Diceros bicornis minor: one gene and its partners. The protein of the gene in region 3 purifies or fractionates together with the protein of the main gene of each other region. This does not show direct contact. Links are inferred from orthologs where the notes say so. Each region holds a gene or a part of one and is shown on either strand. Other genes may lie near its edges. The genes, in order: CHUK, IKBKG, FKBP5 and AKT1.

What was found.
Region 1: the proteins of FKBP5 (region 3) and CHUK purify together in Homo sapiens (co-immunoprecipitation; 4 studies listed by BioGRID and IntAct, with this or other methods). This does not show direct contact. The link is inferred for Diceros bicornis minor from reciprocal best matches to the Homo sapiens genes FKBP5 and CHUK.
Region 2: the proteins of FKBP5 (region 3) and IKBKG purify together in Homo sapiens (affinity purification with mass spectrometry; 3 studies listed by BioGRID and IntAct, with this or other methods). This does not show direct contact. The link is inferred for Diceros bicornis minor from reciprocal best matches to the Homo sapiens genes FKBP5 and IKBKG.
Region 4: the proteins of FKBP5 (region 3) and AKT1 purify together in Homo sapiens (affinity purification with western blotting; 3 studies listed by BioGRID, with this or other methods). This does not show direct contact. The link is inferred for Diceros bicornis minor from reciprocal best matches to the Homo sapiens genes FKBP5 and AKT1.

What each region holds. Positions count from the first base shown.
Region 1 is NC_080745.1:65,541,877-65,549,499, reverse strand, and holds the start of CHUK (inhibitor of nuclear factor kappa-B kinase subunit alpha), read left to right. Parts: upstream 1-4,611; 5' UTR 4,612-4,650; coding exon 4,651-4,755; intron 4,756-7,623. Other genes in the region: CWF19L1 (CWF19-like protein 1), read left to right, coding at 1,674-1,818.
Region 2 is NC_080781.1:138,464,910-138,472,539, forward strand, and holds the start of IKBKG (NF-kappa-B essential modulator), read left to right. Parts: upstream 1-4,621; 5' UTR 4,622-5,173; coding exon 5,174-5,176; intron 5,177-7,630. Other genes in the region: G6PD (glucose-6-phosphate 1-dehydrogenase), read right to left, coding at 2,884-3,011, 3,881-3,992. UniProt on the Homo sapiens protein: Regulatory subunit of the IKK core complex which phosphorylates inhibitors of NF-kappa-B thus leading to the dissociation of the inhibitor/NF-kappa-B complex and ultimately the degradation of the inhibitor.
Region 3 is NC_080753.1:29,091,526-29,098,654, forward strand, and holds the start of FKBP5 (peptidyl-prolyl cis-trans isomerase FKBP5), read left to right. Parts: upstream 1-4,127; 5' UTR 4,128-4,227; intron 4,228-4,558; exon of another isoform or gene 4,559-4,707; intron 4,708-7,129. UniProt on the Homo sapiens protein: Immunophilin protein with PPIase and co-chaperone activities. Component of unligated steroid receptors heterocomplexes through interaction with heat-shock protein 90 (HSP90).
Region 4 is NC_080763.1:49,324,940-49,331,878, reverse strand, and holds the start of AKT1 (RAC-alpha serine/threonine-protein kinase), read left to right. Parts: upstream 1-3,921; 5' UTR 3,922-4,012; intron 4,013-6,728; 5' UTR 6,729-6,814; coding exon 6,815-6,860; intron 6,861-6,939. UniProt on the Homo sapiens protein: AKT1 is one of 3 closely related serine/threonine-protein kinases (AKT1, AKT2 and AKT3) called the AKT kinase, and which regulate many processes including metabolism, proliferation, cell survival, growth and angiogenesis.

The DNA of each region.
Region 1 (7,623 bases), on a different chromosome or scaffold from region 3:
CCTATAGTGGACAGCATGGCTCTAGAGGGGTTAGGTAGTTTGTCCATGGTCACAAAGTAGTAGGTTCAAACCCAGGCCTGTTGGATCCCAAAACGTGAAGTCTTAACCTCGTTATTCTGCAGTATCCTAAAGGTCTGGATAAGGCTTCATTTCTGCTCTTCATATCAGGCAGAACATGACTACGAAACCATACAGAGAGTGGTATAAATTAGGCAAAGACTGAAGACAGGAAGTTACTAGCAAAAAGAGATAATAGTGTGGAGGAGAGTTAAAAATGGGCAGAACAGATTATATGATGCTGTGTCTGTGATTTGCAGCTGTTTTTTTCCCCAGTTAGAACTGAGCTTTGAAGCAACCTTGAACCCTTCTTCAACTAATTTGGAAAGCCTCCCAAGAGATTGCCACCATTGGATAAGTCCAGTTGTCTACATTTTCAAAAAGATAATTGATAAATGAGAACAAGTGTATTAGGAGCTTCAAAAATCTGACATTATCTTTTTGTTGTTGCCTCAGCAATAGGTGCAGATGTGGACAGTGATGACGTAGGCACATGATCGCAGATACACACTGGCACATAAGCCCACAAAAGAGAGATTCTCTGAATGATTTTGTGCTCAACATTGAGTATTTTTTAAAATACTAATTTATAGTTATACAGTATTTTATAGTTAACAAAATACTTAAAAAGTATTTTTTGAAATACTTGAAAAGACATTTTTTCCCCACTGTACAAGAAAGGGGGTTCTATCTTCATTTTATGGATGAAGAAGTAGGCTCAAGTTTTGCCCAGTGAGCTAGAACTTGAGCTCAGGTGCTGTGACTTTTAGAAGACTCGTGTGTTTTGTTTTCAACTTTTCCATTTATTGTAGCTTCAAAGTGGAAAATGAACCATGTAGATGTGCAGATAGAGTTATTTTTAATATATCAAAATAAGTACAAATAAATAAAAATATAAAGCAGTGGCAATTAGAAGGTAGCTTGCATGTATGTGTCTGTCTCTGTGTCTGTATGTAGTTATTCTTTAGTTCTGAGAGCCAAGATAAGTTGTTTTGTTGACACTGAGCTTGTGTTGTTATGCCTATGTAGGCCTGAGTCTCCTAGAAGGAGAGGTAGAAGAATTTTAAGTCAGAGTGGCGCCTGACTGTGTACCATGACCTCAGCAAACCCATGGTCTAGTTGGTGACAAAGCTCCATTTTAAGGCAGGATGTAATCACAGCTAGTTTGGTGCTTTGATTGTGTTATCTGTATACCTCACAAAACCTTATTTTGCATTTCATAGGTAAGGAAATCAAGATTTGGAGGTGGAGTAATCTGTTCAAGTCATAGACAGCACGTGGCAGAGCTAGGGATGGAATTCGGTCTCTGATCTTTCTGACACCAGGGTCTGCCCTCTGGCCTCTACTATGCCGTGTTACTTCCCTGAGTACCAATAAGTTCTGAGTTGTTCAAGAGAGAGCGAGAAAATTGGGTTTGAGGGGTTAGGAAAGAGATAGGACCTGAGCTGGTCAAATGGGTATGATTTTGGCAGAGATGGCACTCAGGGCAAGAGAATGGTATGAGCAAAGTCAGAGGAATTTGCATACCTTCTTGGGGTGATGGCAGGAGAGGAATGGGTGGGAGGGGATTTTGGGCTGATACTGTCCATTTTGACTTCTTTGTGTTCTTTCTGCAGGGAGGTCTTGGCCAGTGAAGCCATCCTTAATATTCCTGACAAGTCTGACTGGAGGCAGTGTCAGATCAGCAAGGAAGAGGAGGAGACCCTGGCTCGCTGCTTCCGGAAAGACTTTGAGCCCTTTGACTTCACTCTGGATGACTAAGCAAAGGGCAAAACACTTTATGAACTTGACAGGAAACAGTAGCAGTCTGTTTTTTTAAGAAACTGCAGTCTCCCATGGGGACTGTTTCCCTGCCTCTTTTTTGTGCATTCCCATGGAAGCTGCCTGCAGCAAGAAGCCTCAGATTGAATATTTTTTTGGAAAAAATCACATTCTAGGATGATAATCCTATGTCTGTCATCCAGCTCCAAGTACAGCTTGTGTTTATCAACATTTTCAAAAACATTTAAACTATCAAATAAAATCCAAATGCTTTTCCCTGGGTGGGGAAAGTATCTTGTGTTCATGTTACCTGTAACCATTGAAATGAAATAGTATGTGTGTGTAAAAGGAGGGGCGGGGCCTTAGGCCCAGCTGTTATCCCAGGATCTCACAGGTGGCTTCTCCTTGAGCAAGGTGCAGCTGGAGCACCCCAAGGCCTTTGCCGTTTTTCTCTTATAGCATTCATCTTATTTATATAAAAGAGCTCATTCAGTCCTTCAGCAAATACTTAACTCTCCTATATGCCAGGCATTTTTCTAGGCTCTAGGAGTATAGCCATGTTCCAACATGGTCCCTGTTGTCCCAGAGTTTGCAGTTTAATTGAGAAGAGAAGGGGCAGATTTAAGAAAAGATGAGTTCTGCTCTGGATATGTTGAGTTTTCGTGTGCTGTTAGATAGTTCTAAACACATGGAGATCTGGGTTGGTGATAGGGCTTTAGGGATCATCAGGGTATAGGCCATAGGTGAGATTATGAGAATGGATGAAAACAAGGGTGAATACAGTCCTAAGCTGAAGATGACTACCTGAGAAATATCAGTATTTAAGCAGTGCTTGGAAATAGAATGATCCATCAAGTACATGAAGGACTGGAGAGAAAGCTCACAGGAGAATGCCGTATCTTAGAAGCCAAAAGAAAGAGATTTGCTGCTATATAATGGGCACTTATGACACAGACACTTTTTCACTTAATCCTCACAAAACGTTTATGAGGTAGGTATTACCTCCATTTTACACATGAAAAAACCAAGAATGGCAAACTTGAAGATCGTTGAGCCTGAGGTCAACTGGCCCTGGATTTTTAAAAAAAAAAGCTACACAGTGACCTTGAGTATGGGGATGTCTAAAGAGTGAACTAGGGGAAACAACCCACTTCCTGCAAGGACAGCTACTTCAGCATCAGCCCAATCATCAGTATCCTCAAGTCCTCAGCATCCTTCCCTAGCTCTTCCAAGTGAGAATTAGATTTCAGCCCCACCTGTGGAGATCAGACATGCTCCATTGCTAGCTATGCTGTACATCTAACAAACAAGAGGGCTTCATACTATTAGGACAATCTGCACCACAATCTGTGCAGTATGCCCAGCTTTAAGGGACATGTTCTTAGACTATTTGCCATCACCTCAAAGTCTGATACTCCAACTCCATGGCTACCAAGCACCTATGTGAAATCAGAATCTCTGATACTGAGCACACATTACTGACAACCTACAACATGACTTGGTTTGTATGATGCAGTGCTCTACATTCTGGTTGAACTGTTCAGGGATTCTGGTGACAGCAGACACATTTGCTTTGCCAAAGGCTGATTCAGTGCTTTCAAAGCAGTTAGCTTTGATGGCGTGCTGTGGTGTACGTGCCATATCCACCTTCAGACATCTGAGCATGTTACATCTGTCATGGCACAACCATGTGTCACAAAACGTTGGTTGGAATTCTAAGTACTGAGTTAACAGGCCAGGCTGTGCAAATGATAGTCCAAGTGCACATGATCTCAAAGGAGGCTCAAATGACTGTGCTTATGGCAGCTGACACATTTCATCAGAGATTTTGATTCTAGCTGATTGTTACACCTGGAGCGATTGATGAAATCCCCAAGTTCCATGTAGCGTCTGACACTCAAAGCGAAAAGCAGAAAAGCGGGAGCTGGTTTCTCTAGGCTAGGGCAATCTGGCACTCAGAAGCACTTCTTGTTGCAGCAACAGTATTTCCCAAGCTTGCCTCTGTAGCCCTGTATCACGCATCAGAAACAATCCCCACAATGAATAACTACCGCACCGGCAAACCCCATAACTGGAGGACTATTTGACCGCAAGCTCCGTGAGGAATTTAGGGAGAAACTCCCGAAGTCAGGAGGAACATTCTTTACTCTGGAACAGCGTCACATCCTTGAGTCATTTGGTTACATACAGGTGAGATCCTGGAACAGGTGTATAGGAAGTCAAGCAAAAGAAGAGCTGAGCCTGACTCGTCTATGCAAGATGATTAATCATTAAGGGAAAAAAAAGTGAACTATGAAAGCTAATGCATCAGTGGGCCTGTTAGCGCAGGATTCTTTCTAGTTCTTCGCATTCCTCAATATTTAAATCATTGGTGGCCTTTGCCAGTGCCAGCTCAGCGGGTGATGAGGTTGGAGGATAGACGGCAGAAGTCTGAAAGGTGAAGTGTAGGTAGGGGTGGGGACGATGTAAAGTCTAGAAAAGACGAATACTGGAGAGACTGGTTTGGAAAGTGATTTGAAGGGAATGTAGGGTCTGGAGAGATCTTATATTCTTGAAGACCAGAAAAACACATGAGGGAACAGGGCTGGTTCTCTCAGCCAGGAAAATGCACAGGGGACTTAGAGAGCGGGCAGAAAACGCCACTCTCCTCACACGATTCTCTCACCTGCAGGGCTCCTGCGGCGCCCCTGGAGAACTTGGGGCGGGCTTTTCCTCCAGCAGTTACCGGAAGTGACGCATACATCTCGCGAGAAGACAGACGCGGGAGCTGTGGCGGCCCGGAACCGGCCTGGGAACGGTGGCGAAGCTTGAGGCCGCTTGCCCTCCCGCCCCATGGAGCGGCCCCCGGGGCTGCGGCCGGGCGCGGGCGGGCCCTGGGAGATGCGGGAGCGGCTGGGCACCGGTGGCTTCGGGAACGTCTGCCTATACCAGCATCGGGTGAGGCGGGGCGCGCGAGGGAGCGGCCGTGGGTGTTTGTCAGAGCGTCTGTGGAACACAGTGATTGTCAGTATGTGAGAGATTGTCGGGGAGATCTTGGGCAGTATTGTGGGCCACTGTGTGTGTGTGTGAGAGAGAGAGAGACAGACAGACGGATTGTGCTTGTGAGCCTGGTGACTGAGTCCGAGGTTGTATCTGAGGTCTGGGTCAGTGTGTTTGAGATAGAGCTGTTAGGGGGAGCTCTTGGTATGAGTGTCAAGGTGTGACGAAGTGTTTACTGAGTGTGACATTACGTATGTCACTCTCTGAATATGGAGAGTGTCAGGGAGTGTGAGGCAGATGCACATCAGAGTGTGTATGTGTGAGCACGAATGGGTGAAGAGGGGGGGCTGCCTGTTGCAATGTGTGTGTGTGCTTGGAGGTCGTATTATCAGTAGGGGCTGGGGTAGACAAGGAAGGTTTTACGGTGAGTCCACAGCTAAGCTTTTGGAAGCACTGGGTGGGCTTTGGAGTTGGCGATGCGTTCCAGGTAGGGAACAGCATGAGGATCAGCTGGTGACAATGATAATGATTTCACAAGGAAAGAAGATAGATCGGGGTGAGGTGCTCTAATCAGTGAAGACACCTAACATCAGACTCCGGAATTTTGCTTTGATTTAATTGAGAACATTTAACCATTGTTAAAGCAGCAGTTAATAATCATATTTGAGCTCTGTGTCTTTTGATATACCAATAAAAGCTGTGAACCCTTTCCCCATAAAAATGCACAGATGCACATCCTCACAACCTTATGCATTGTCATTTGAGGGGGTTCATGCTCTCTTGAAGGACTTTCACAGACCTTTTAGATGTATAGACCTTGGACTAATAATCCCTGCAGTATAGTCTTTGTTTTGTCATCTGTAAAATGGTTATATTAATGTGATTAATATACATCTTGGGTCTGTTCGGGAATTAAATAACATAATAATGTATGTAAAGCTAAGAACAGTAGCTTGCCCATGGTAAGCCCTCAAATGTTAGCTCCTGCTACTGCTGTATTGTTGCTGTTATCATCTTCTTCATCATTAATTGGGCTTAAAAAAGGAAACAAGATAAAAGTAGTGTTCTAGGAAGATTTTTTGTAAAAGATAAATCCAAATGGAAAAACATATGGGACAAAATGAGCAGTTTAAGATATTACTAAAGTGTTTGCAATTGGCCTGTGAATGGAGAAATGAATTCAAGAGGGAAAAACATCATTTGCTGACTTAAGGAATATGGGTGTGGGTAGAGAGACCATAATATAGGGTGGGAGGTAGGGGATATGGCAGTCTACCTGGGAGGAATAGGTATGTTTGGCAGTTACAAAGACGAATATCACTGAAGAAATTTTGTGAAACAGGTTTCTAGATAGAGCATAGGAGGAAATTTTGGAGAGAGGGGGAATGGAAGGTGAAGGACTAAGGCATTAAGTACTTTGACAGGCAGACAAGTAGTAAATTTAATAATTCTCACCATCAGAGAGGATGTAAGGCACTCAAAGAGAAAAGAGAGGGAGCCAAGTAGTTGTAGCGGAATGTTGCCTGTGGTCTTGTTATCTAAGCCTGCCCATCAGCCTGGTCATAAGAAAAAAAGTATGCATGCTGGCATGCTTTTGTGACTGCTTTTCTTGGCCTCTGGCTGGAGATGGATGAATACATCACTTTTTTGTTAAATGTGGTAAAGTATATATATCATAAAATTTACCATTTTAACCATTTTTAAGTGTATAGTCTGTGGCATTTAAGTACATTCACATTGTTTTGCAACCATCACCACCATCCATTTCCAGAACTTTTTCATCTTCCCAAACTGACGGTCTGTACCCATTAAACAATAACTTTTCATTTCCTCCTCCCCCAGCCTCTGGCAACCACTGTTCTACTTTCTGTCTCTGTGGAATTCATCATTTTTTAAATGGAAGAGATTTGGGTTCCTCTAGAATCTTAGAAATCTCTCAGGAACTTTCCAGTTGTCGAGTGGCCCTTCCTCCAAACTGGGACATTTGACAACTGAGCCTGTAGTGAGAAGAGAAGAAATACTCTGTTATAAGGCTTGGGAACAGCATCATTCCTTTTCCAAGCCTGACTTAGGGTTTGCATTTACAGCTTTCAAGCTCTTTGTGTTTTGATGGAAGCCACGTCCCAGTGTTTCATTTACGCTTCTTAAAGCACAATGAGGAAGAGAAAAGGACGTGAGCTGGTTTATTTAGCTGATTACTGTGCTGGGTGCTGATAGTGCCCAAATCAACAAAAACAGTATTTTCTGGCCTTAAGGCGATTTCAAGTGTAGTGGGTGAGGGAGACACAGAAGCACTTTAAGTACAGTGTGATAACCTGTATAACCAAGTTATTTGTAAAGTGACATGGAAGAATGGCAAAATAACCAAAGAAGTCTTCCTAGGGAACAGGGTAGCACTTCTCAAAGTGTGTTTGGAAAAACAAATCCCATGAAATGCTTTGATAAAAGGATACTATGGTCAAATACATTGGGTAAATGCTGCATATAATATTTCTTCATTTGGAGATTCATAACCCATGTAGCATATTAAAAGCCCTGAGAAGTCCTGTAGTAAAGAAATTAACTTAGTATTTTCCAATTTTTAAAATTGTGGTAAAATACACGTAACTTAACATTTACCGTTTTAACCATTTTTAAGGGTACAGTTCTGTGGTGTTGGGTACATTCACATTGTTGTGCGACCATCACCACTGTCCATCTCCAGAATATTATCATTTTTTTAAACATAGAACTCTTTTTTTTTTGGCCAGACATGTATAAACTTTCCATGGAACATTCTTTTTGAAAAGGTAGAGTAAGGAAGGCCTTCACAGAGTAGGTGAAATC
Region 2 (7,630 bases), on a different chromosome or scaffold from region 3:
GGCTCCCGGCCACTGGACCGAGAGAACCTAGGGTCTGCTGAGGTAGGCTCGGGTGTAAAACCAAGAAAAGGGCCTCCCTCCTACACCCTGGGGCTTACGAATCACCAGGCCTTTGGGGGAGTGCCAATGTCATCATGACACAGCAAGAATCTTATCAGCCCAAGGGGGAAGGCAGCCCAGAAACGTCCGGAGGAGAGGGAGGGCCTGAGCACCCATCGAGCCCATAGCCCTTGTGGCCCAAGTGGGGAGACTGAAGCCCAGAGAGGCGAGGGGCTCACTGCGGACCCTGCAGGGAGTCAATCCTGCCCAGTGGACTCCCAGTCCTGGTCTCTCTTTCTCTCACTCCTATTCCTCTCTCCACTCCCTGAGGTGGGGAGAATCGCTGAGCCCGCTGGTCGAGTCCTATCAGATGGGGGAGGACATGATCTGCCAGGCCCAAGGTTCCTCCCCCCATGCTGGTCTGTAAGGAGAAACCGGTTTCCTTCATTCCAAGGCTTTCTGGACTAGGATAGTAAGTACCTCCACTCCCTTCCTGGCTGGGGGTGGGAGTCCTAAGGAGGGCGGAAGTGGCCACATAGCAGGGGGAACAGAGAGCAGCTCAAAGCCCATTGGGTAACTCTGTGAGCCAGCATCAGGAGGCCCTGAGGAAGGAAGCTGGGCGTGCCGCTGAGGGTTGGGTAAGTGGAAGAGGAGGAGGAAGGGGCAGAGAATGGCCACGTGGGCCCAGCCTGCCCCACTTGGGGCTCTGTGTCTGCTCTTCCCTTTGTGTGGTGTGCTCCCCGCCGGCCTTGGCTCTGCAGGCCTCTCTGCAGGCCCTCTTCATGAGACCTGTGTGCTGGGGGGCTGGGGACACAGGATCCTGTCTGCGTCTTCTGTCACATGCTCCACTCTGAACTCTTCTTAGGCTAACTCACCTTAGGTCCTGGCCCCCACCACAGAGGCCCCAAGAAGAGGGCAGGGCCCATGCTCGCTGTGCTGCAGGGGAGGCACTTGGTCAGCATTTGTTGGATGGAGGAAGAGAGACCTCACTGGTCTCCCATAGCAGCAGGTTCTGGTAGAGTGCGCCCCCAGCACTACTCTGCCCACCTCCTACCCAGACGAAGGAGACAGTGAGGCAGTGGAGGCCAGACTGTGGGAGCTGTTCTAGGTGCTGCCTGAGCGTGGGCGGCCCACCCTCTCCAGCCCCCTGGAGTAGAAGGGAAAAACAAACAAGGAGGCTCTTCTTCAGAGAACCCTTGCTCTCCCCCACTCGACCCTGCTGGAGCAGCACTTCCCATTTCTGCTCTGGAAGCCTCCGGTTGTCACTCCAGAGCAAAGGAGAGCAAAGGGAAACCCTACTCATTGCAAAGAAACAAAGTTGCCCAACCCCAAGCTGGCCACAGGCAAAGGCAGTGAGGACTCACAGAATCAGCTTGGTAGAGCCCGAGGACCTTCGGCACTTGTTTCAAAAGCCCTGGTTTGCTATGGAAACACTGAGGTTCAGAGAAGGGAAGACACTTGCCCTAGGTCACACAGCAAGCTTGGATGCTCTCAATGGGGCACTTAAGAGTTGAGGGCCTGGAGTCACACGCCATTTCTTGCGGCCTGGCATGCTCTGTAGGAGCATCCTGTGATAGGCTGGCATGGAGACGAGGGAAGGAGGAAAAATAATCCTGAGTTACTTTCTCTACCAACCTATTTCTTGGACAAAGGACCTAATGGTCAGAGTCCTAGGTGTTAAGGTCTGTGGCCAACAGAGGTATGGCTCCTCCAAGGGGATGCGGCTGAGGCCAGGGTAGAGGCCAAGCGTGTCCCCTGTCTGCTCCTCCTGGGTACAGGGCATCAGAAGACACTGCTTGGGGCAGCCCTCCCTTCCCTCCTACTGGCAGAGTCCTTCTACCCTGTACTGCCTCCTGCTCTGCATTCTGGCTCTCCTTTTCCAAGTCTGGATCAGAATCCCAAAGTTTCCAGGGAGTAGACTCTGCAAAGGGTGGTGGCAGGTTATGATATATGAACAAAGAACCAAGTTCCTCCAGAGCTGAAGGGACTGTGCTGTGGTAGGCACAGAGAGATAAGACCTGCCCTGTCAAGAACTCTCTAACTTTGGTGGAACTCTTGCTCAAGATTACACAGTAAGTTACTGGCAGAGGTGATTATACAATGGTTAGCAGGTTCTTGGTCATGTCCAGGGTTAAAAGTGAGAAGAAACCACTTTTCTTCAAGATGAAACCCTGGCAGCTCATCTCAGCAGCCCCTGCACATGTCTGGCCACCTGGCAAATCTCGTTTCCACACGGTACGCCGGGAAGTGCTTTAGTCTGAGGGTCATGGCTTGACTAGGACCCACTCTCCCTCTCCTGTGCCCACTTGCCATCACAAACCGTCACTGTGCTTCTACTCTATCAGAGCAAAATGGGGCAAAGAGACAATGCTCAAAGAAAGGTCGAGTGTTTGTCCCCAGGGAACTTGATGTGGTAGAGAAAGACAAGGTGGAGATCGGGCCTCAGAACCTGCCTCTGGAACTAACTCACTGTGTGACATCTGTCAAGTCACAAACAGGTTTGAGAAAAACACTCACAGAATGACTAGGCTCCCTGTTTGCATTTCAGTGTTCTCCGTGGAGAAGGACTTCCGGGCTCCAGGACAGTCAATGGCTGTCCTATTAATGTATATAGTCAATGGCTGTGCGTGGACTTCGGAAATGCCTCCTAACGTGTATATACCGTATGGTGCTGGGATGATAGTGGCACACAGGCAGGAGCAAGACGGAGAGCCCAACCAAGCAGAGCCCACGTGGCCCAACAACAGTCAGTTGGGAAAGCCCAGGCATTGAGCAGGAAGGGACCTTAAGCAATGTCATGCTCTAAGTGTGGGTTTTAAGATGATGGTCCTCGGGGAGACTCACCGATGCACCCATGATGATGAAGATATGTGTATCGGACTGATGGAAGGCATCACCTTGGTACAGCTCTTCCCGCAGGATCCCGCACACCTGGGTCCGGCTCAGGGCCACCTGTTCTGCCATGATGCTCTCTGGTGGAAGAAAGGCTCATTGACAAGGCACAAGAACATCAGAGCATTGAGAAGATAGCCCCTTTCTCGAGGAGTCGTTTGGGCTCTCACCCAGCTGACGCCTGATTATTGAAACCACTCGCTGTGAATGGCCAGGGAGCAGGATGGTTGGGAAGTAAGAAACTGCTGGCTCTGGGCTTCAGCCATACTCCCCAAGCAGCCTTCTTTCACGGTGTACAATACAAAATTGCCCAAAGCCCTAGTGGATTCCAGCTAGAGCCTCAATTCTGAGGGACCAAGCAAAACCCTGCTGGACATCGCATGACCTGCCTAGGTCCATCGCACCCCGGACTCAGGCAGAAACTCCACAATGAGCTGGAGCATGTTAGACCGTGCAGATGATGGAGTGCAGCTCCAGCTCTCTTTCTGCCAGGCTGAGACCCTGGCAAGTCCTCTCGAGATCTCAGTCTCCTCAGGGTTCCAACGGCAGGGATGCAGGGGGGGCAGTGGGATCGGTTAAGGCCGTCTCGGTTTTGCCCCCGCTCCCAAGCATGGCAAATCAAAGGGCCTAAGGTGCCGCACATCCCTCCCTCCGCCGGCGCGGCGCCCGCCCACTCCCTTACCTGCACCTTACCGCCGCCGCCCGTCGCACTCGCAGCCCCGGAGTTTCAGCCGTTTCCGGGGGCTGTGCCCCGCCGGCCCACTTAATCAGCGGGGGCGGGCGCCTGGTCTCAGCCGACCCGCCTCAGGCGAGGCGCGCGGGCGGTGCCCCCACAGGCCCCTCCCTCCAGGGGCGGGGCCCGGTGAGGGAGCAGGCAAGTGCGCGCGCATCCCAGGCTGGCCCCCGCGCGAGGCCCCCCCGCCCTTGGCTCGCCCCGCCTCTTGGGCACCTGCACCGGCCGCCCGGCCGCGGGCCGCCTGCTGTACCCGCCGCCGCTGAGCCGCGTCCCGGATGCGTCGCGGTTCCGCGTGCAGCTCCGCGCCGTTCGCCCGAGTCCCCATCACCGGCTCGGCTCAGCCCCGCCCCTACAGGCCGGCTTTCTCGCAGGCCCCAGGCGGCCCTACACCCTCGCGGAAGGCTCCACTTCCGCTGGCAGCGTGGCCACGCCTCCTTGACCCAGGCTATAGGCGGGGCCATCTGAGCCCCGCCCTCTCACCGGACGGTCGCCCGCTCGGTCAGACCGGCCCTGTTGGGCAGCCTCGTCGTGGCTCCTCCCCTTGCGGGGCCGAGGCAGCCGAGCACGCGGAGGCTGGATGCTGTAGACCGAGGGACAAGGGGCAGTGTGGGTCGTGACGCCCCGAAAAGTAGCAGGTGGTGGATATCACTGGGGAGCCTCCTGCAGGCCGACCGAGACTGGTGGGCTCGGGCTTCCCTCTGGAGCAGCCTCCCTAGTACTTCTCGCGGGCCTCCTGGGCGGGGGCGGGGCTTCCCTGTTTTACTTCCGGATCCCACAGTACGACACCGGAAGCAGGAAGTGGGGATTTCGGCAGCGGGAGGAGGGAAAGGCGACCGCGGAACTGGGACTTTCTCGGAGGGACGGGGCCCGAGGAGCGCTCGTGGCCTGTCGCTTCTGTCCATCTCACGTCGGACCGATTCTGCTGACAGGTGTGGTCCTCTTCCCCGAAGGCAGGGTACCATCACTGGGCGTTCCACCGCCTCTGAGACTCTCCCGGACGTCCAGGCTTTTCTCTCCTTTTGGGCCCCCGCCCATTTCTGCCACCCGCATCTAGAGCACCGGCCAAGGCGGGGCGATGCAGGATCAGGTTTCTTTGGCGGTGAGCAGGACTGTTCCTGCCTCTCCCTCCACCGCCGCTGTGGAGTCTGATCACACCCCTATTTCGTGGGTGACTCTTCTAGTTCGAAGATATTTTCTGTTCATCAAACTTGACTGTATTTGAGGTTGTTAAGTTCTTTAGAAAGACCTCAAATATAGTTTGGCAGCTAAGTATCTTACCTCATGTGCCTCAGTTTGCTCACTTTGCAAAACGATTAATGTCTACCGAATCTCATACCATTTCTGTGATTTGAGGATGAATGGGCCGTCGTGGCACATTGGAGGAAAAGCTGGAGCAGAGTGAGCAAGGGGAGAATACTTGGAGAGGAAGCAGTGGGGGACCAGATGGTGCAGGGCCTTGTAGGCCGTCAAAGAGACTGGCTTTTACATGGAGGACAATGAGGAACCATGGTATGGATCTGAGTAGAGGAGGGACGTGATCGTAATTACTTTTTAGGCTTATTGTTCTGGCCTCGGTGGGGAGAACAGACTGTAGTAGGCAAGGATAGGAGCAGGGTGATCTGTTAAGAGGTTATTGCAGTAATCCAGGTGAGAGTTGATGGTGCTTTGAGCATTTTATTATGAAAATTTACAAAGATGCACAAAAGTAGAAAGACTAGTATGGTAAATCCCGTGGAACCACCTCCGGGCTTCAACAGTTACCAACTCATGGCTAATTTTAATTTATATCCCTCACAATTGTCTCCCATTATTCTTTTCAATAACAATTTTATTGAGATATAATTCACATACCACACAATTCACCCATTTAAAGTGTACAATTCACTGGTTTTTAGTGTATTCACGGAGTTGTGCAACCATCACTACTAATTCCAGAACATTTTCATCACTCTAAAAAGAAACTCCGTACCCTGTGGCTATCACCCACATCACCCTGTCTCCCCCAGCTCTAAGCATCCACTAATCTTTCTGTCTCTATAGATAATTTTCCTATTCTGGACATTTCATATAAATGGAATTACACACTGTGTGGTCTTTTGTGAATTGTTTCTCTCTGCAATGTTTGTCCATGTGAATGTAGTAGATTTTGTTTATTCCTCAGTTGATGGACATTTGGGTTGTTTCCACTCTTTGGCTGTTATGAGTAACGCTGCTGTGAGCATTCATGTGTAGACATGTGTTTTCATTTCTTTTGCATAGATACCTAGGAGTTCCCCCATTATTTTGAAGTGAATTTCAGACACCACCTGACAGTGTTTCAGTATGCATCTCTAAGAAAATATTTAAAAAATCATAGCTAAAATACCACTCTCACACCTGAAATAGTTAACATTAATTGTTTAGTGTCATCAAATAGATTCTGGGATACATTTTAACATTTTTTTTAAACTTTATTTTTCCCCCCAAATCCCCAGTAGATAGTTGCATGTCATAGCTGCATATCCTTCTAGTTGCTGCATGTGGGACTCGGCCTCAGCATGGCCGGAGAAGCGGTGCGTTGGTGCGCCGCCGGGATCTGAACCTGGGCTGCCAGCAGCCCAGCAGCGGAGTGCACGCACTTAACCGCTAAGCCATGGGGCTGGCCCCTGGGATACATTTTGACAGGATTTCCTGATGGATTAGATGTGAGCTGAGAGAGAGAGGGAGAGAGGGAGAGAGGGAGAGAGGGAGAGGGGGATGGACGGAGGGAGGGAGGGAGGAGTCAAGAAGGACTCCGAGGTTTTTGTCCTGATAACTGGAGGATGGATTGGCCACCAGCTGACAGTAAGGTAGGCTGTGGGTGGTCCTGGCTTTGGGGGACTCGCAGGAGTGCAGTGTTGAAAAGGTTAGTTTTAAGAGGACTACTAGATGCCCAGGTGGAGATGTTGAGTCTGATACGTGAGTCTGGAGTCCAGGAAACAGGTCTAATTTTAGGGCATCAAGAGCATTAGAATGGGGGTTAAAGCTGTGAGGCTGGATGGAATTAGTCCTGGAGTGACTGTAGTTAGAGAAGAGATCCCAGAACAGAGCCCTGGAGCACCACAACGTGAAGGGATGTGTTGATGAGGAGGATCCACTGCAGGAGCAGCCAGTGAAGTAGGAGGAAAACCAGGAGAGTGGGCTGTTCTGTAAGCTGAGGGAGGGGTCAGTGGTTGGTTAAATACTGCTGATGGGTTAGTGGGGTGTTGAGGATCAGTGTCATAGTCAAACGTCCAAGTTTATTCAGTGTTCAAAGTCTCCTTCCTCAGCTCAGGCCTGCTCCTGGAAACTTGTATTTGGATTGTCCACCTCCTCCAGGTAGTCAGTCTTCTTGGGCAGGATTTAAAAGGGCTCTAGGCTGGTGCTGTCCCACGTGGGCTGCCTCTATTCTAGTTCAGAAGAGAACGCAAACAGCCTGTCTCTCTGCTCTGCTGTCTTAGTCTGCGAGGCCAGCTCTCACTTTCAGATTACTTAGCACATGTCAGATACTAGATGTCCCCTTCGGCCCCCCAGTTCCAGGGAACACTGATCAGATTCTGCGTGGTCTCTTCAAAGCCCCTCTGACTAGATCTATTAATTTCTTAGGGCTGCTGTAAGAGATGACCACAAGCTGGGGGCTTAAAACAATAGAAATTTCTCCTTTCCCAGTGCTTGAGGCCAGAAGTTTGAAATCAAGGTGTTGGCAGAGCTGTGCTCCCTCTGGAGGCTCTAAGGGAGGACCCTTCCTGCCTCTTCCAGCTTCTGGGGGCCCCAGGTGTTCCTCGGCTTGTGGCCACATCCCTCCAGTATCTGCCTCTGTTTTCACGTGGCCTTCTCCTCTGTGTCTGGATCTCCTCTTCCATCTCTTATGAGGACACTTGTCATTGCATTTAGGGCCCACCCTACTCCAGGATGATCTCATCTCAAGATCCTCATTTAATTACATCTCCAAAGACCGTTTATCCA
Region 3 (7,129 bases):
GTCATCTGTGAATAGAAATAGTTTTACTTCTTCCTTTCAAATCTGGATGCCTTTTAATTTCTATTTCTTGCCTAATTGCCCTGGCTAGAACCTCCAGTACTATATTAAATAGAAGTGGCAAGATTGGACATCCCTGTCTTGTTTCCTGGGGAAAGTATCCATTCTTTTATCATTAAGTATGATACTAGTTGTGGGTTTTTCTATGAAAAACTATGTGGGTTTCTATGAAACCCACATAGATACTAGATGTGGGGTTTTATCAGGTTGAGGATGGCTGCCTGTTTTTGTAAATAAAGTTTTATTGGAATACAGCTATGTCATTCATTTACGTATCGTCTGTGGCTGCTTTGTGCTATAATGACAGAGTTGAGTAGTTGTGACAGAGACCATATGGCCTGCAAGCCTAAAACATTTACCATCTGGCCCTTTAAGAAAAATTCCGCTGACATCTGTTTTAAACTGCTAACTTTGGGGATAGTTTGCTATGGAGCAATATACAACTAAAACAACTTCCCATCTTCGCCTGGGACCTCAAAGAACTGCAGCATTGAGGAAAGGGGGACCATAAATAAACAGAATCTCCCACAGACTGTAGTCCAGCCTCAAGGCATCTGGGAGGCTCAGAAAACCGAGTCCTGAAATTGGGTTAAGGTGATCCTAGCTTGCTGGTGTCCCCAGACGCCTGCTAAAACAAATGGAAGTCCTTTCCAGAGGAAGATATTATCATCGTTGCCTCAAATGATCTTTCAAATACAACATCCAAAACACAGCCAGATACCTGAGGAGATACAACAACATGAGGAAGAACCAGTAGTAAAAACTGACAACGGAAGTGGACCCACAGGGACTGCAGATTGGAATTAACAGACACAGACTGTAAAACAACTATACTTACTATGGAGAGAAAAGCCAAGCTTGAAAATTATAGCAAGGCACTAAGAGATATAAGAAGGGAAGGGACACAGAATGTCTGAAAAAGAACCAAATAGAAATTCTAGAACTAAAAAAAAAAAAAAAAAAAAGAATAACCAAATTTAAGAGCTCCATGGATGCGTTTAAGAGGAACATTTTTTTTTTCCAGTGAGGAAGACTGGCTCTGAGTTAACATCTGTTGCCAATCTTCCTCATTTTGCTTGAGGAAAATTGTCACTGAGCTAACGTTTGTGCCAATCTTCCTCTATTTTGTATGTGGGATGCCACCACAGCATGGCTTGTGAGCAGTGTGTAGGTCTGCACCTGGGACCCTAACCCACGAACCCCAGGCCACCAAAGTGTAGTGTGCAAACTTAACCACTATGCCATCCGGCCAGCCCCAAGAGGAGAATTTTTTAAAAAGCTGAAGAGAGAATTAGTGAACTGAAAAATAGTTGGACTAAACTTTTAGAATGAAGCATGGAAGGACAAAAGATAGAAAATAAAGAAGAAAGAGATGTAGTGAGGAAGTCTAATACGTGTTTCAATTGATGGCCCAGAAGGAAAGAGGAAAAGGTACAGAAACAGTATTTGAACATATAATGGTTGAGAATTTTTAAAAATTGATGAAAAACTATTCAAAAGGTGATAGGCAGCCATGAAATGACATATATCCCTCCACTATGTGTTCTGACTCTTATTAAAACAGTACATCCTTCATGTACAAATCTGCTTGTGAAAGGATTCTGAAACCAACACAGAGGTAGCTCCATAGTGGATGGAATAGGGCTTGGGTAGGCTGAGTTCAAGTACAAGCTCTGCTACTTTCTAGCTGGGCCACCGGGAGAAGGGTGCCAAACCTCAGTTTTCTCAGCTAATAAATGGAACTAGTAATACTGACCTACCCCACATTGCCACTGTGAGAACCAAATGACAAGATGAACGTGAACAAATCTAGTGAATGCCAACTGCTTTAGAATGAGATATGGTTTGAGCAGAATCACAAGCATTCCCAGGGGCAACTAACAGCAACAGGGAGGACTGGCTACCTAATTTGCAGGTCCCAACACACAGTGGAAATTCAGAGCCCCTCACTGAAAAATTTTTAAGAATTTCAAGATGGTGACAGCAGAGCATTAAACCAAGCACAGGTCACATGCCCATGAAGCCAGCTTTGGTAACAGGCCCTGCCAAGAACTGCTCTGTGCATTAGGAAAGGGCTGCTCATCCCACACCCAGGTGTCTGCAGCCAGAGCCCACGTTATCTTTGAGTTCTGAAGGGCAGCAATGTTTAGGGAAAATGCAAGCACACGTGTTTCCAAATGCCAAGGAGGGCAAGTGAGTGACCGGAGTGGTTTTCTGAGATAGTGGGTGGGGCCAGCCAGGCTGCCATCGGAACTGTGGAACTGACTGTTCCCCACAGACTCTGGCCTAGAAAAAAAAGCCTGCAGCTGTATCTACAGGGCCTGTTGTTGTTTGCCGCGGTGTGTTACAACACAGCCTGGCAGCCTCCCGGGCCTTTCTGTCTTCCTCCTGGGAGAGCCTGGTCTCAGAGCATGTGACATGGCCACATGGCCCTGCAGATTTGCCCACACTGCTCCTCACTGTTCCCTCAGTTACTAGGCTTTTCCAGGTCTGCATGCTTTTTGCTCATGCTTATCCCTCCCTGCCCAGGAGCCCCTTTCCTCCCTCTTCCACATCCCTCTGTCTGGCAAACACCATCTTTTAAGAGTCCATCTTGTAAGACTTAGCTCTAGTGTCACCGCTTCAATAAAGCCTTCCCTGCCTCTCTCAGGAAGAGCCGATTCCTCCCTCTGTGGAGCCCTCCACTATGCCCTCTGCAGACATCTGTCACAGTCCTTGTAACATGAGGAGCACTGACATGTAATGTGGATGTCACTGTCTCTCAGGCGTCAAGGGCTGGGATAATTTCTGCTCACCTCTGTATTCTCTTCACATAGCACAATGCTTAATACTTGCTGTTATTAAGCATAGTAGATGCTTAATCAATTGGTGTTGGTATGCAGAGGCGTTTTAGTCATCTTTCTGAATTAACGCATACATAAGTGGTTTGAGCGACTCTCCCTGGCAGCTGGTAAAAAGGAAAGCTTCTAGGCCCTGAGACAGGGCTCTTGCCCTTGAGGAGGTTTCAGTGTTGGCTCTAGTTGTCTCTTCTGCAGACCCTACCTCTTGAAGGCAGGACTGTTGATTTGTAGAAGAGACTCTTCACCGTAATATAGTGCAGAGAGTAGATTTGGAGCTAGGAAATGCGGCTTGTCATCTGGCTATGAGACATTAGGTTTCCATAGGTAACTATTAAGTCCCATAGCTAACGGACTACAGGCTTCTGTTTCCTCAAAAACGAGGGGATTGAGCTAGGTATTCCCTAAGGCCCAGGTGCAGCTAGTTCAGTCCCCTTATCTGAATCTCTATGGGAGCGATTCAAAGGTGGCCATCTGGTTGGAGAGGCCTGTGCCCCTCTTGAAGCTGAGTTTGCTCAGCAGGCGACCTTTTAGGGGACGGGGGCAGAGAACACACATTTTTCAAGGTCCTCTGCCGTCCCAATCGCCTGGAATCTCATGTTTGAAAGGTAAAAAGCCACGGGAAAGCATATTCTTCCCAGGCTCCCAGTGTCCAGAGAGAAGTGCTCTGTGCTAAATCGGTTCTGAGATGGGATTTTCCCCAGTTTCGACTGGGCATCTTTGACTTCCTGGGGTTGTTTCCTGGGGTTAACCTGGCCTGTTTACCTGACACAAACAGCCAAGCCTGCCCCTCTCCATCCTCCTGGCAGGCGGCTGGACCGATAGGAGGTCAGAGCTTTCAGAGAGACGATTCAGATGTGAAGTCAACTAGCTTGTTTAGGTGTTCGTTTCTCTAGAGGTAAGGGCCGGTGTGAGGGGGTGCCGGTCGCTTTCCTCCACCCCTCCACTCCGGCCTCCACAAAGGGCGACGGCCAGACACGTGGGCTGGTGCGGAGAGGCGGAGGTTACACTAAGGCGGAGGTGCAAATGGACGGGGGCGGGACCTCATTTGCATGGACGGCGCGCGGCCACCAATCCGGACAGGCAGAGCGGCAGCCCGCGCGCCTTTTGGGGGCGGACTGACAGCCCCGGGGCCCTATGGAAGGCGGGTCCTGCGGCCGGCGGGGGCGGGCCGGCGCCGGGCGCTGCCCGGGGGATTCGGGCCGGCTCTTGGGCGCTGCCAGTCTCGGGCGGCGGCGTCCGGCGCGCGGGCGGCCTGCTGGGCGGGCTGAGGGGCGAGCGGCGTGCGAGTGAGGCGGAGAGAGACGGAGACGACGGGCGAGCGCGGCGGCAGGTACCGGCGCCATGGCCGCAGGGATGGGGCGGGCGACCGCGGCGCCCCGGGAGCCGAATTCCCTCCGTCGCGGTCCGGCCGCCTCCCCGCTCCCTCACGCGGCTCCCCGGCCCGGGAGCGGCGCGCGCGGCCGGCGGAGCCTCGAGGCCGGCGCGCCGGAGGCCCCCAGCCCCAACGCGGGGCAGGCGCGGGGCCGGGGCTCCTCCGGGAGCCGCTCCCGCCCCGCCGCGTTCCCCTCGGGGAGGCGAGGCCGGGCCCGCCCGCCCGTCCTCACCCGGCTTTTGTTTCCCGCCCGGGGTGACAGGTCCCGGCCCGACTCGCCCGAGGCGGGAGCCGGCGGCGGGACCCGCGGAGAGCTGGGCGGCGCGTGAGCAGCAGCCGGCGCGGGCGGGAGAGCAACTTCGCCTTCCGGGGCCCGGGCGGCGGGCGCAGCGAGCGGGGCGCGATGGAGCCGCGCTCACCTGGCGGGGCCTGTGCAGGGTGAGGATCTCGAAGGGTCCCGCGGCCGGCGCCTCGGCTTTCGCTTTGCGCTCCCCGGGCGGCGGGGGTGGATGCGCGCGGCCCGCCTTCACCTGCCGCCCTGGGACGAGTGAGTGGGAACAGCATCCCGCTCTCGGCCGCTCTTGGAGGGTGCCGGGGCAGCGCTCTTCTGACAGGTGATACTCTAGAGCCAGGTGAAAGCCAGTGAAAAGTTGTTTCAGGGCTCCTTGTCCATTTCCCTCCTGGGGCGTTCTGACGCCTCATTGAGTCTAAAAAGGTGTTCTGGCGACTGTAGAGGCGTCAAACCCAGTATCGATGAAAAACCATTTGGGGGGTCAGCGTGTGGGTTGCCTTCTTTCGATGCACGAGCCAGGGGGAATCTTGTAGTCTCGTTTAAAAACTCGGGTTCTGCAGTGGTGGCGAAAGCCTGGGAAGGTACAAGTTGTAAATGGAGAATGCAGAAGTCTAGATATCCTCAGTGTGGTTCAGGACAGAGTGTACAGCGTTTGGCCGCCATTCAGTAAATTCTGCATGAAGCAGTTTGAGCTCGTGGTTTTGGATTTACTTTTCAGGAGTATGTTTTCCAGTGGAATAAGGCTTAGCATTGAATGGGAGCTTTCTTTGCCTCTGGGAGGGTAGACAGGAGTGTTTATTTTCATTGTCTTCTCATTTTGTTAGATTGTGGACGAGGGAAAAGTGAAGGCATATTTTGGTTAAGTATTTTTGTAGTCTGTGGGAGTTCTGCCGAGCTCCCCCACCAAGAGTTCTTACTTTAGAGAATTATAGTGGCTTTTTCTCTTGGTGTTCCAATCAAAATTCAAGGATAGCCTTGAAGAACTTCTTATTCTTGGGGGAAATTTTTATTTGTCATACTTTCACTTATTTTCTGTCTCCCAACTGACCTCCGCTTAACAATCTACAATTATGGCCTTGACCACTTTAGGCCCTGACCAGTTTATCAATATGTTTTTTAAAAATATTTTTTAAATGAGGGTTAATAAGAGTCATCATTTGTGAGAAACACTTGATTTAGCTTACTCGTTTTTTTTCCTATTATGTGTCTCGTTGGATATCTGTATTGGGTATGATTTATACTTGAGATGTTAAGTTTAACTTCTTAAGAACAAAGTTGTAATTTTGATCTAAATGCTACTTTATTAATATTTCATTGAATGGTAATTTTACTTATTTACCTAGCTAATTAGTAACACTATTTAAAGGTGAACTCTTTAACCAATAGGCTAGTTGTGACTATTTGAGATTTAAAAAAAATAGAGATGGTCTTTATAAAATGTTTTATTTCTCTAAAACAACAGGCCTGTATGTTATGAGTTCTTTGTCTTTCTAACTTTTAACAAAACAAGTATGTTTCTGAATCTTTTTTTCAGTTATGGGAATTTTGGGTTAATTTATTTTTTAAAACATAATTTTAACCAGTTCAACATGAAAAACTTAAAATATTGGATTCGGCAGCTAGTTAAATCTTCAATTTTCAGTTTATTCTTGGATTGGAAAAGAATGCATATTATAGGCTAGTTTCCTAAAATGTTTCTTAGTTTAGAACAAATTAGTCTAGAGAAGAAAGAACATCCTCTTTCTATAGCTGTAGAAGAGGTTATTGCTATTAAAAAGCTGTATTGGCTTTTTGATGCTTAGTGAGGGTAGATTGGTTGAACAGTGACTCGTCCTCATGTAGAATGGGTTTATTCTATATAAATAGTTGTAAGCAATCTTATAAGAGTGGGGCTCTCATTGTTTTGGATGATTTATATAATTGCACTTTAAAGTGTATAGGAATATATTAGTTTAGCTACTGTGTGTAATTAGACGTTTTATAATCTTTATCCTATGATAATGCTTAAATATACTACATATCATAAATTAAAGTTATATTTCATAGTTTTATTTGCACAAAAGCATGTTTTAGGAGCTTTAACTATAAAAGTGCCTTTTAATTAAAAGCCCGTTTTCAAATTCAATTTTTAGATATTTTAATTACTAATTTTTTGTCCACTTTAATTTGTGGTAGACCATATCATAAAATTATCAACCACATTTCAGTTTCAAAATTAAGCATAAGTTGAATTCTTCTACACAATAAACAATGGGAGCGTTTTTAAGTCAGTTACTCTCAGGCGTGGCTCCTTTTGAGTTTGAGGATGGGCAAATATTTTTGAATGAATAAAGCCACAAAAAACAAGGACCTATGTTAAAACAGCCAAATTTGAGAATAAATCAAATGACACTGTTAGACATTAATAATACTTTATAACAGTAATATGCATGTTATACCTGGCATTAAGAATATCCTCTATAAGCCTTTACTATAATTTTTCACAATTCCTAAAGAAGAATCTATGTTGTACATATTTTGGCACACTTAATTTTGTAATTATTTAATGCTGAACAATTAAATATGTAC
Region 4 (6,939 bases), on a different chromosome or scaffold from region 3:
GGGTCGCCACCCAGGAATCCTGTTCAAGCCTGGTGGGTTGGGGGCCTGAGGAGCGGCCAGAGGGCCTGGGGCCCACCACAGTCTGTGTGGGAAGGAAAGCCACATTCTTACACTAAAAAATTATGCCTTGTTTATCTGAAGTTCAAATTTGACTGTGTCCTGTATTTTTATTTCCTAAATCCGGCAACTTCAATGTGGAACTCTGGACTCACGCTGCACTGAGCCACTGAGACGGCCCTGGCTCCATTGCCCTTCACCTCGGGGACCCTTCTGAGGAGGGTCAACCCCCTCCCTCCACCCCCTCACCCAGCCCACAGCAGGAGGAGCTGACTTCCAGTCCAGTCAGAGGGAACCCAGATGGAACTGCCTGTGGCTTCTCGCCTGTGTAGAGTCCTGCCCCTGCCCCCTCCCGACCTCAGGCGTGACCCTTAGCCTCTTCGAACCTTAATATCCTCATCTGCAGAAAGGCAGATTCAGGGCAGGGCCTGGCTCACAGCAGGACCTCAGGCTCCTCCTCTGAAGGCCTTCCCTGGCTCCTCCATTCCTGTCTCTGTTCCAGCAGCACCCCAAGAGTGGTCTTTCCTGACCACCCCACCGAGGTCCCCCCAAGCCCACGTTCTCCTCTCCTCGTCCTTCTCCAGAGCACTCCCCGTGCCGTGTGACTGTGCTCTCTCTCGGCTCCCCCGATGTATTCTCGGGGCTAAGAAGCTGTCGGGGCACAAAGTGGGGTTCAGGAAAGGTCTCTTGAGTGAATGCATGGCGGTGGCTTCCGTGAGGGATGTTCCCTAGGTGCTGCCATCTGAATTCTGACTGCTCTGTGGTGCCACAATGCCCAGTGTGGCCTCCCCAGGCCCGGCCTTGAGCATGCGGAGGCAGGGAGGGGAGGCTGGCCTTGCTGGGGCTCTGGACGGACAGCTCCCCACACAGGCCGCAGGCCGGGAGGAGGCCCCCGGGGTGGGCAGAGTGCCCTGGCCTGCCCTGCCTGGCTGGTGGGACGAAGTGCTCCTTGGGGGCCAGACAGAGGCTGAAGCAAATTAGGACGCTGCCTGTAAGAGCCTGGGGTTGGGCCTGGGAGGCCGGCCCAGGTAGGGATGGGCTAGAGGAGGGACGTCACTCGGGGAGGGGAGAGTGGGAGAGAGGCCCCTGAGTCTCTCAGGTCGGAAGGTCTGAGTAGGTCCCCCTGTCCTGATACCCCCCACCCTGAGGAGGGGCTGTCTCAGGCAGCCCGGAGATGGTACTCAGGAGCCGGCCGCCCCTTGGCCCTTGGATCCTCTCTCCGGCCCTGTGCAGTCCCAGTCACAGGGATGACAGGAGGTTGTCGCAGTGGTGCGGGCAGAGGCTTCCCAGACGCAGCTGGCCAGGCGGCCATCTGGCCTGGGAGCTGCCCCCAGGCCCCGCCCTGCAGCTGCTGCTGAGACTAGGCAGCCCGGGCACCGGCCCACCAGTCCTGCTAGAAGGCTGGCAGCTGCAGAAGGTGACAGGCCCGGAGGCTCTTGTGCTCTGGGAGGGGCAGGCGGCCACCCTCCTCAGGGGCAGTGTAGCAATTTTTGTTGGAAACATCTGGCCAAGGGGCATCTCAGCGGCCCCAGCAGCGGCCAGCATGGGCTGGCAAGCTTGGTCCTCTCCTTGCCATTCTGTCTGGGGGTTGGGAAGGGGGTGTTCTTGAGGAGAGGGGCTCTGCTTTCCCTGCCGGAGGCCAGAGGCGGAGGGGGCTAGCCCTGCCTTCAGGGATACCCCAGTCACAGGGCAGGGGCATGCCAAGGTGCAGACAGGACTGGGCACTGCATGGAATGGGGTGTGGGGCACACAGCAGGTCACGCACAGTGGGGGCTGGCCCAGAGCGCCGTGCAGAACAGGCAGGGAGACCTCCTGGAGACGGGCCTGGAGGTTTGGGACCACTGCGATGCAGCCTCCCAGCCAAGATGCGGTTCCTCAAATGGCCAGCAGGCCCCAGAGCACCTGGGGAGCTGCCACATGTTCCACAAGACGGCGCCCTCCCGGCCCCTCAGTGGCCACTGGCTGCCACCCTGCCGGGTTCTCCTCTGGTCCTCCACCTCCTCCATAGCACTGTCAGTTCAGGATGGGGGGTGGGCACGGAAACCCTTCCTGGGAGAGCAGTGGGTAGGTGGGATGGTCCCAGGGGGCCCCAGGGGGAAGGTGTGCAGGGTGAGCGATGGACAGACATTGGACATCAGGGGCTGACCCTCAGGTCAGGCATCTGGCCCCAGCGGCACGGTCGGGGCCTCTCACTGGGCCCCCTGGAGGCACGGCCCTGCCTGGAGGTACACAGTCAGAGCTGGGACAGCTGCGCTGCAGTGGGAGGGTGGGGGGCAGCAGTGCCAAGGGGAGAGGCCGGGAACTGGGAGTCCCCTCCTCAAGGAGCCAGTGTCCCCTGAGCAGGAGAGAGTGTCCTTCTCTGAGGAGCGTCCTTCTTCAGGTCAGCCCCAAGAGGCAAGGATGGAGCCCCAGTGTTGGCTGTAGATGCCGTCCTGGACACTCAGCTGGGCTGCACCTGCCTCTGACCCAGATGAAGTGTCCACGCCCCCTCAGGTTGAACTCTGACCCTGGATGAAGAACAAAAATGCCCCCCCCAACACATACCAACCTCAGGAAGGTAACTTACAGGAGTCTTCCTTTCACAAAAGGATAACTATCAACTGGGAGGCCTCAGGGTTGGGGGGAGGGGCAGCTGTTGGAGAAACTAGTGGCTCTAGCCAAGGGCCAGGGCCCAGGGAGGGGTCACGGGTGGGAAGTTGTCTGCAGATCCTGGGGATCTGTAGGAGGAGGGGGTGAAGTCTCTCTGCCTCCCTGGCCCTTAGATGCCTGCCAGTGGACTGTGGGTGCCCAGGGCCCATTTGCACAGCAGGGAGGGTCCTGGCGGCCTCAGCTGGCACAGCCCTTCTCCTGAGTCTGCTCCCCCTCAGCTCCCCCTGCTGTGTGTCTGTGCCCAGCCCCGGTGGGCACCTCAGGCCAGGTGTGCTGCATGAAGCCGGGTGCCACATGCATGCCCCTCCACTGGTCCCTGCAGCCCTCACTGTCACCACGTGAAGTCCCCATCCACTTTTATAGGGCCATATGTCACATCTTTCTGGGGAGGGGAGCTCCTGGAAGACTCCCCGGAGGGATTGAGGGCCCAGCCCAGGGCCAGGCCCATGGCAGGCCTTCAGCACAGAGATGGACGACCGAGTCCCGTAGCCTGCCCTCTCCTGTCCACGGTCCAGCCAGCCTTCCAGGCCCACCTCAGACCTGACTTCGCCCCCCAGCCTCTGGCATGCCCTCAGGGACCAGCACTCTGCGCTCACCTGGCAGGGCCCTTGGGTTGGTCTTTTAGGAGAATCTTGGCTGCTCCCTCCCCCCCACCAGCATGTGGCTACCCACTTGGAGCACCTTCTGAAAGTCAAACTAACCTGCCCCCTCCTATCCCCCCAGTGGAAGCAGAAGCCCAGGATTCGGCCCAGATCGGCCCTTTTAATAGGGTCGTGGCAGAACTGGGCCGAGAAGCGCAGGCTCCCTGGACAAACCGGGCAACTGAGGCCAGAGGGGACGTGGTCTGGGCCCGGCCCCAGCGGCGGGCAGTGGCCCGGCTCCGTTAGCGGGCCCGGCCCCGGCCCCGGCCCCGAGAGCCGCCCGCCGCGCGCTCCCGGCGCCGCGCCCTCGCCCCGGCCCGCGGTGGGGGCGCCCGGGGCGGCGGAGGCGGATGTGGGCGGGCGGCCGGGCGGGGCGGGCGCGGGGCGGGGAGAGGGCGGGCCGGCGGCGGCGGCACCGAGCGCGGCGGGCGGGCGGGCGGCCGGCCCAGCGCAGCCAGCGCAGCCAGCGCAGCCGGAGGACGCGAGCCGGCGGCCGCGCGCAGCACCGGCCCCGAGGCGCGCGAGGCCCGCCGAGCAGCCCGCCGCCGCCGCCTCCAGCCCGGCCCCGCCCGCCCGGCCCGGCCCGGCCCGCGGGGATGCGGAGCGGCGGGCGCCGGAGGCCGCGGCCCGGCTAGGCCCGCGCTCGCGCCCGGACGCGGCGCCCGGTGAGTCCCCGCCCGCCGCCGCCGCCGCCGGGGCCCGGATTTCCTCCCCGCGCCCGGCCGCTTTGTTCCCGGCCGGCGGGGCCGGGGCGCGGGCCGCGCGCAGCCGGAATGAGGAGCGGGAGCAGGAAGTGGCCGAGCGCGGCCTGGGCGGGGAGGGCGCGGGCCGGGCCGGCGCCGGGGGTGCGGGCCGCCGGCCCCGGCTCCCTCATGACCTTGGGGAAGCGGCTCCGCCGGGCGAGGCCTGGGCTGGGGCGGAGGGGCGCGGCCCGGCGCCGGGGGCCGCGAGCTGGGGCGCCCCTGCTGCCCGGGGCTCCCCGGGCGCCTGGCCAGCGCGGCCGCGGCGCCCAGTAGGCGCCCAGGGTCCTTAGGAAAAGGCTCGCCCCAGCCCTCCTTGAAGTTTGTGGGTGGGCCCTGGGAAGGAGACCTCATTTTCCCATGGCCAGAAAGTTGTACATGGTGGCGAGGTGCCCAGGCCAGCCCACAAAGGACTGCTCACCCTCCTGGGCCCCCAAACTGCTTCCTGACCTGGGAGGGCCGTGGAGGTGCTGCCTAGCCATCCCGGAGCTGGGGCCCGGAGGGCGGCGGGGCCTGCCCCCCGGAGTGGGGGGTCCAGGGCAGGTTTGCCGGCGGGCCGGACTGTTCCCAATTACTGCCATGGTGGACAGAGTGGGGGGCGTGGGCTGTGCTCTGTGGCCAGAGGGCCCCCTACATTCCCTCCTGCCGCCCCGCCTTGCTCCAGGCCCCTCCTTGCTGTTCTTGAGCCCTTCATCCAAGTGAAGGGCGGGTTGTTTTGATGGGGGCTTGATTCCCTGCCCCCGAGCTGACCATACAGTTCACAAGTCAGTGTTTTTGGGGGGGGGGGACCCTTTCACAGCACAGATTGTTTTTTTCACAAGTTGTGGCTTAAATAATAATAGCAGTCGTACATGTTGATGGTAAAGGCACTCACAGTACAGAAGTAGCGGGAAACAGAGGTCCCCTCCATCCCGCCGGCCCTGTGCCCAGAGGTGGCCCAGGCACTGGGCTGGTGTGTACATTTCTGTGCAGACGTACACCACCCTATGTGTGTGCACAGATATATTTTTACACACGGGGCTCTCAACAGCTGTCTGACTCGGTCAGCAGCAGGCCCTGCTCAGACCGGGGTGGGGGTGGGGGGATGTCCAGAGGTCTTTGAGTCCAGCCCCCTGCCCCCAGGCCACGCCCACTCAAGTATCACCAGAGCCCCCTGTCCCCGGGGCTCAGAGCCCTCTCCTCTGCGGTATCTTCGGGGCTCACTTGCTGCCCATCGCTGCCCCTGGGCGTGCTGAGCATGTCAGCCACTTTCTTCTTTGGGCCAAGTGTGTCTTCCCTGTCCTGGCACCAGACGCAAGGCAGTGGGGTCTTCTGCCCTTCTAAAGTCAGCCTAAGAGTGCAAAGCGGCCCTCTGGGTGCCCAGCCCCTGCCTCAGGAGGCCAGTAAGGAGGGCTTCAGGAGGGTGTCTAGGCGGCTGTAGAAAGACCCAGGTTGGGATCCATTCTAGAGGTCCTCAGGGGTCTCTGCCTGGCCTGGATGTCCCAGAGAGGAGTCTCTTTGGGCCTGCCCTTAGGAGTGCCCGTCTGGAGGGGTAGCAGAGGACTGCTCATGGGAAGAAGGCTTTTTCCCAGGATGCCCAGAATGGGTAATGTGGGAACTGGGTTTTGAGGGATGCCTAGGAGTTCGTACAGCAGGGGAGCAATGGGGAGGGCTGTGCAGGATCAATGGCCAAAGTGTCTGCTCAGGTGAGGGCTGGCTGGTGGGCCACTGCAGGGTGGGTGCCAGTACCACTGCGCTGCTGCAGTGCCACCCCCCATTTTTGGCCTCGTGAATGCTGTAATTATGGGTCTGTAACCACCCTGGACTGGGTGCTCCTTACAGACAGGACCCGTCTGAGCCTCTCTTTGTCCCCCGCGCCCAGCCCTGAGCCTGGCAAAACCAGAGATGCCCGGTACGTGTTGGCCGATGAATGAACCAGATTCAGACCGGCAGGGGCGCTGTGGTTTAGGAGGGGCCTGGGGTTTCTTAGGGGAGGGGTTTCGTGTCCCCCTGGAGGGCTCTGGCTCTCATCTGCGCCAGCTGCCTGCGCTGCTGGCCCTGCCTTCTTTGTGTTTGAATTTCTCTCCTTTCCCAGTCTGGGGCAGGGAGGAGGAGCCAGGGCCCTGCCCCAGGAACCCCAGCCCGTGGGTGGGAGTACCACAGACAGAGAAAACAGGGGCACCCTCTCCAGGGACTTGGGGATGCTGAGGGGCGTGGGCCGAAGCAGTCAGAGGGGCTGCCTGGAGGAGGCGGCTGCTGCTGTGCTGGCAGGTTAGGGAGGCTGGGATCTGCTGGGAGGGCCTCTTGGGGATGGGAGTGTATAAAGTCCAGGGGAGGTGGGAATGGGGGAGGTGGGGGGGGGCAGTGAGCTCTGAGGGCCTGGGGGTCCAGGAGGGGTGATGGCAGGGGCCTTGATGCCCAGGTCGAGGAGAGGCCCTGGCCCAGGGAGCAGTTTGAGTAACGGGAACTTCATGTCAAGTGCCATGGCGGGAAGAAGGCGATGGGACGGCTGTGCTCTGAAGGCTAAGAGGTGGGCAGGCCAAGGGGGAAGGGAGACCCAGGCTGAGACCCCGGGTACGATGGGCCTCCTGGGCTGCCTGCAGGGCCAGAGGAGCGGCCTCCAGCCGGACACAGCCTCACACACTTCCTTTGCTTCTTCCAGAGGCACGGGCTGGGCTCGGGGAGACCCTGCTGAGAGAGGAGCGGGAGTGAGACCTGGGCCGCCCGGCCAGCCGGAGCCCGGGCACCATGAACGACGTGGCCATCGTGAAGGAGGGCTGGCTGCACAAACGAGGTGAGTGGCCGCGGGGCTGGGCCTGGGGTGGGGGCCCCGGAGCCGGCCAGCATGCCACCCTCAGGTGGCGGCTGCCAGG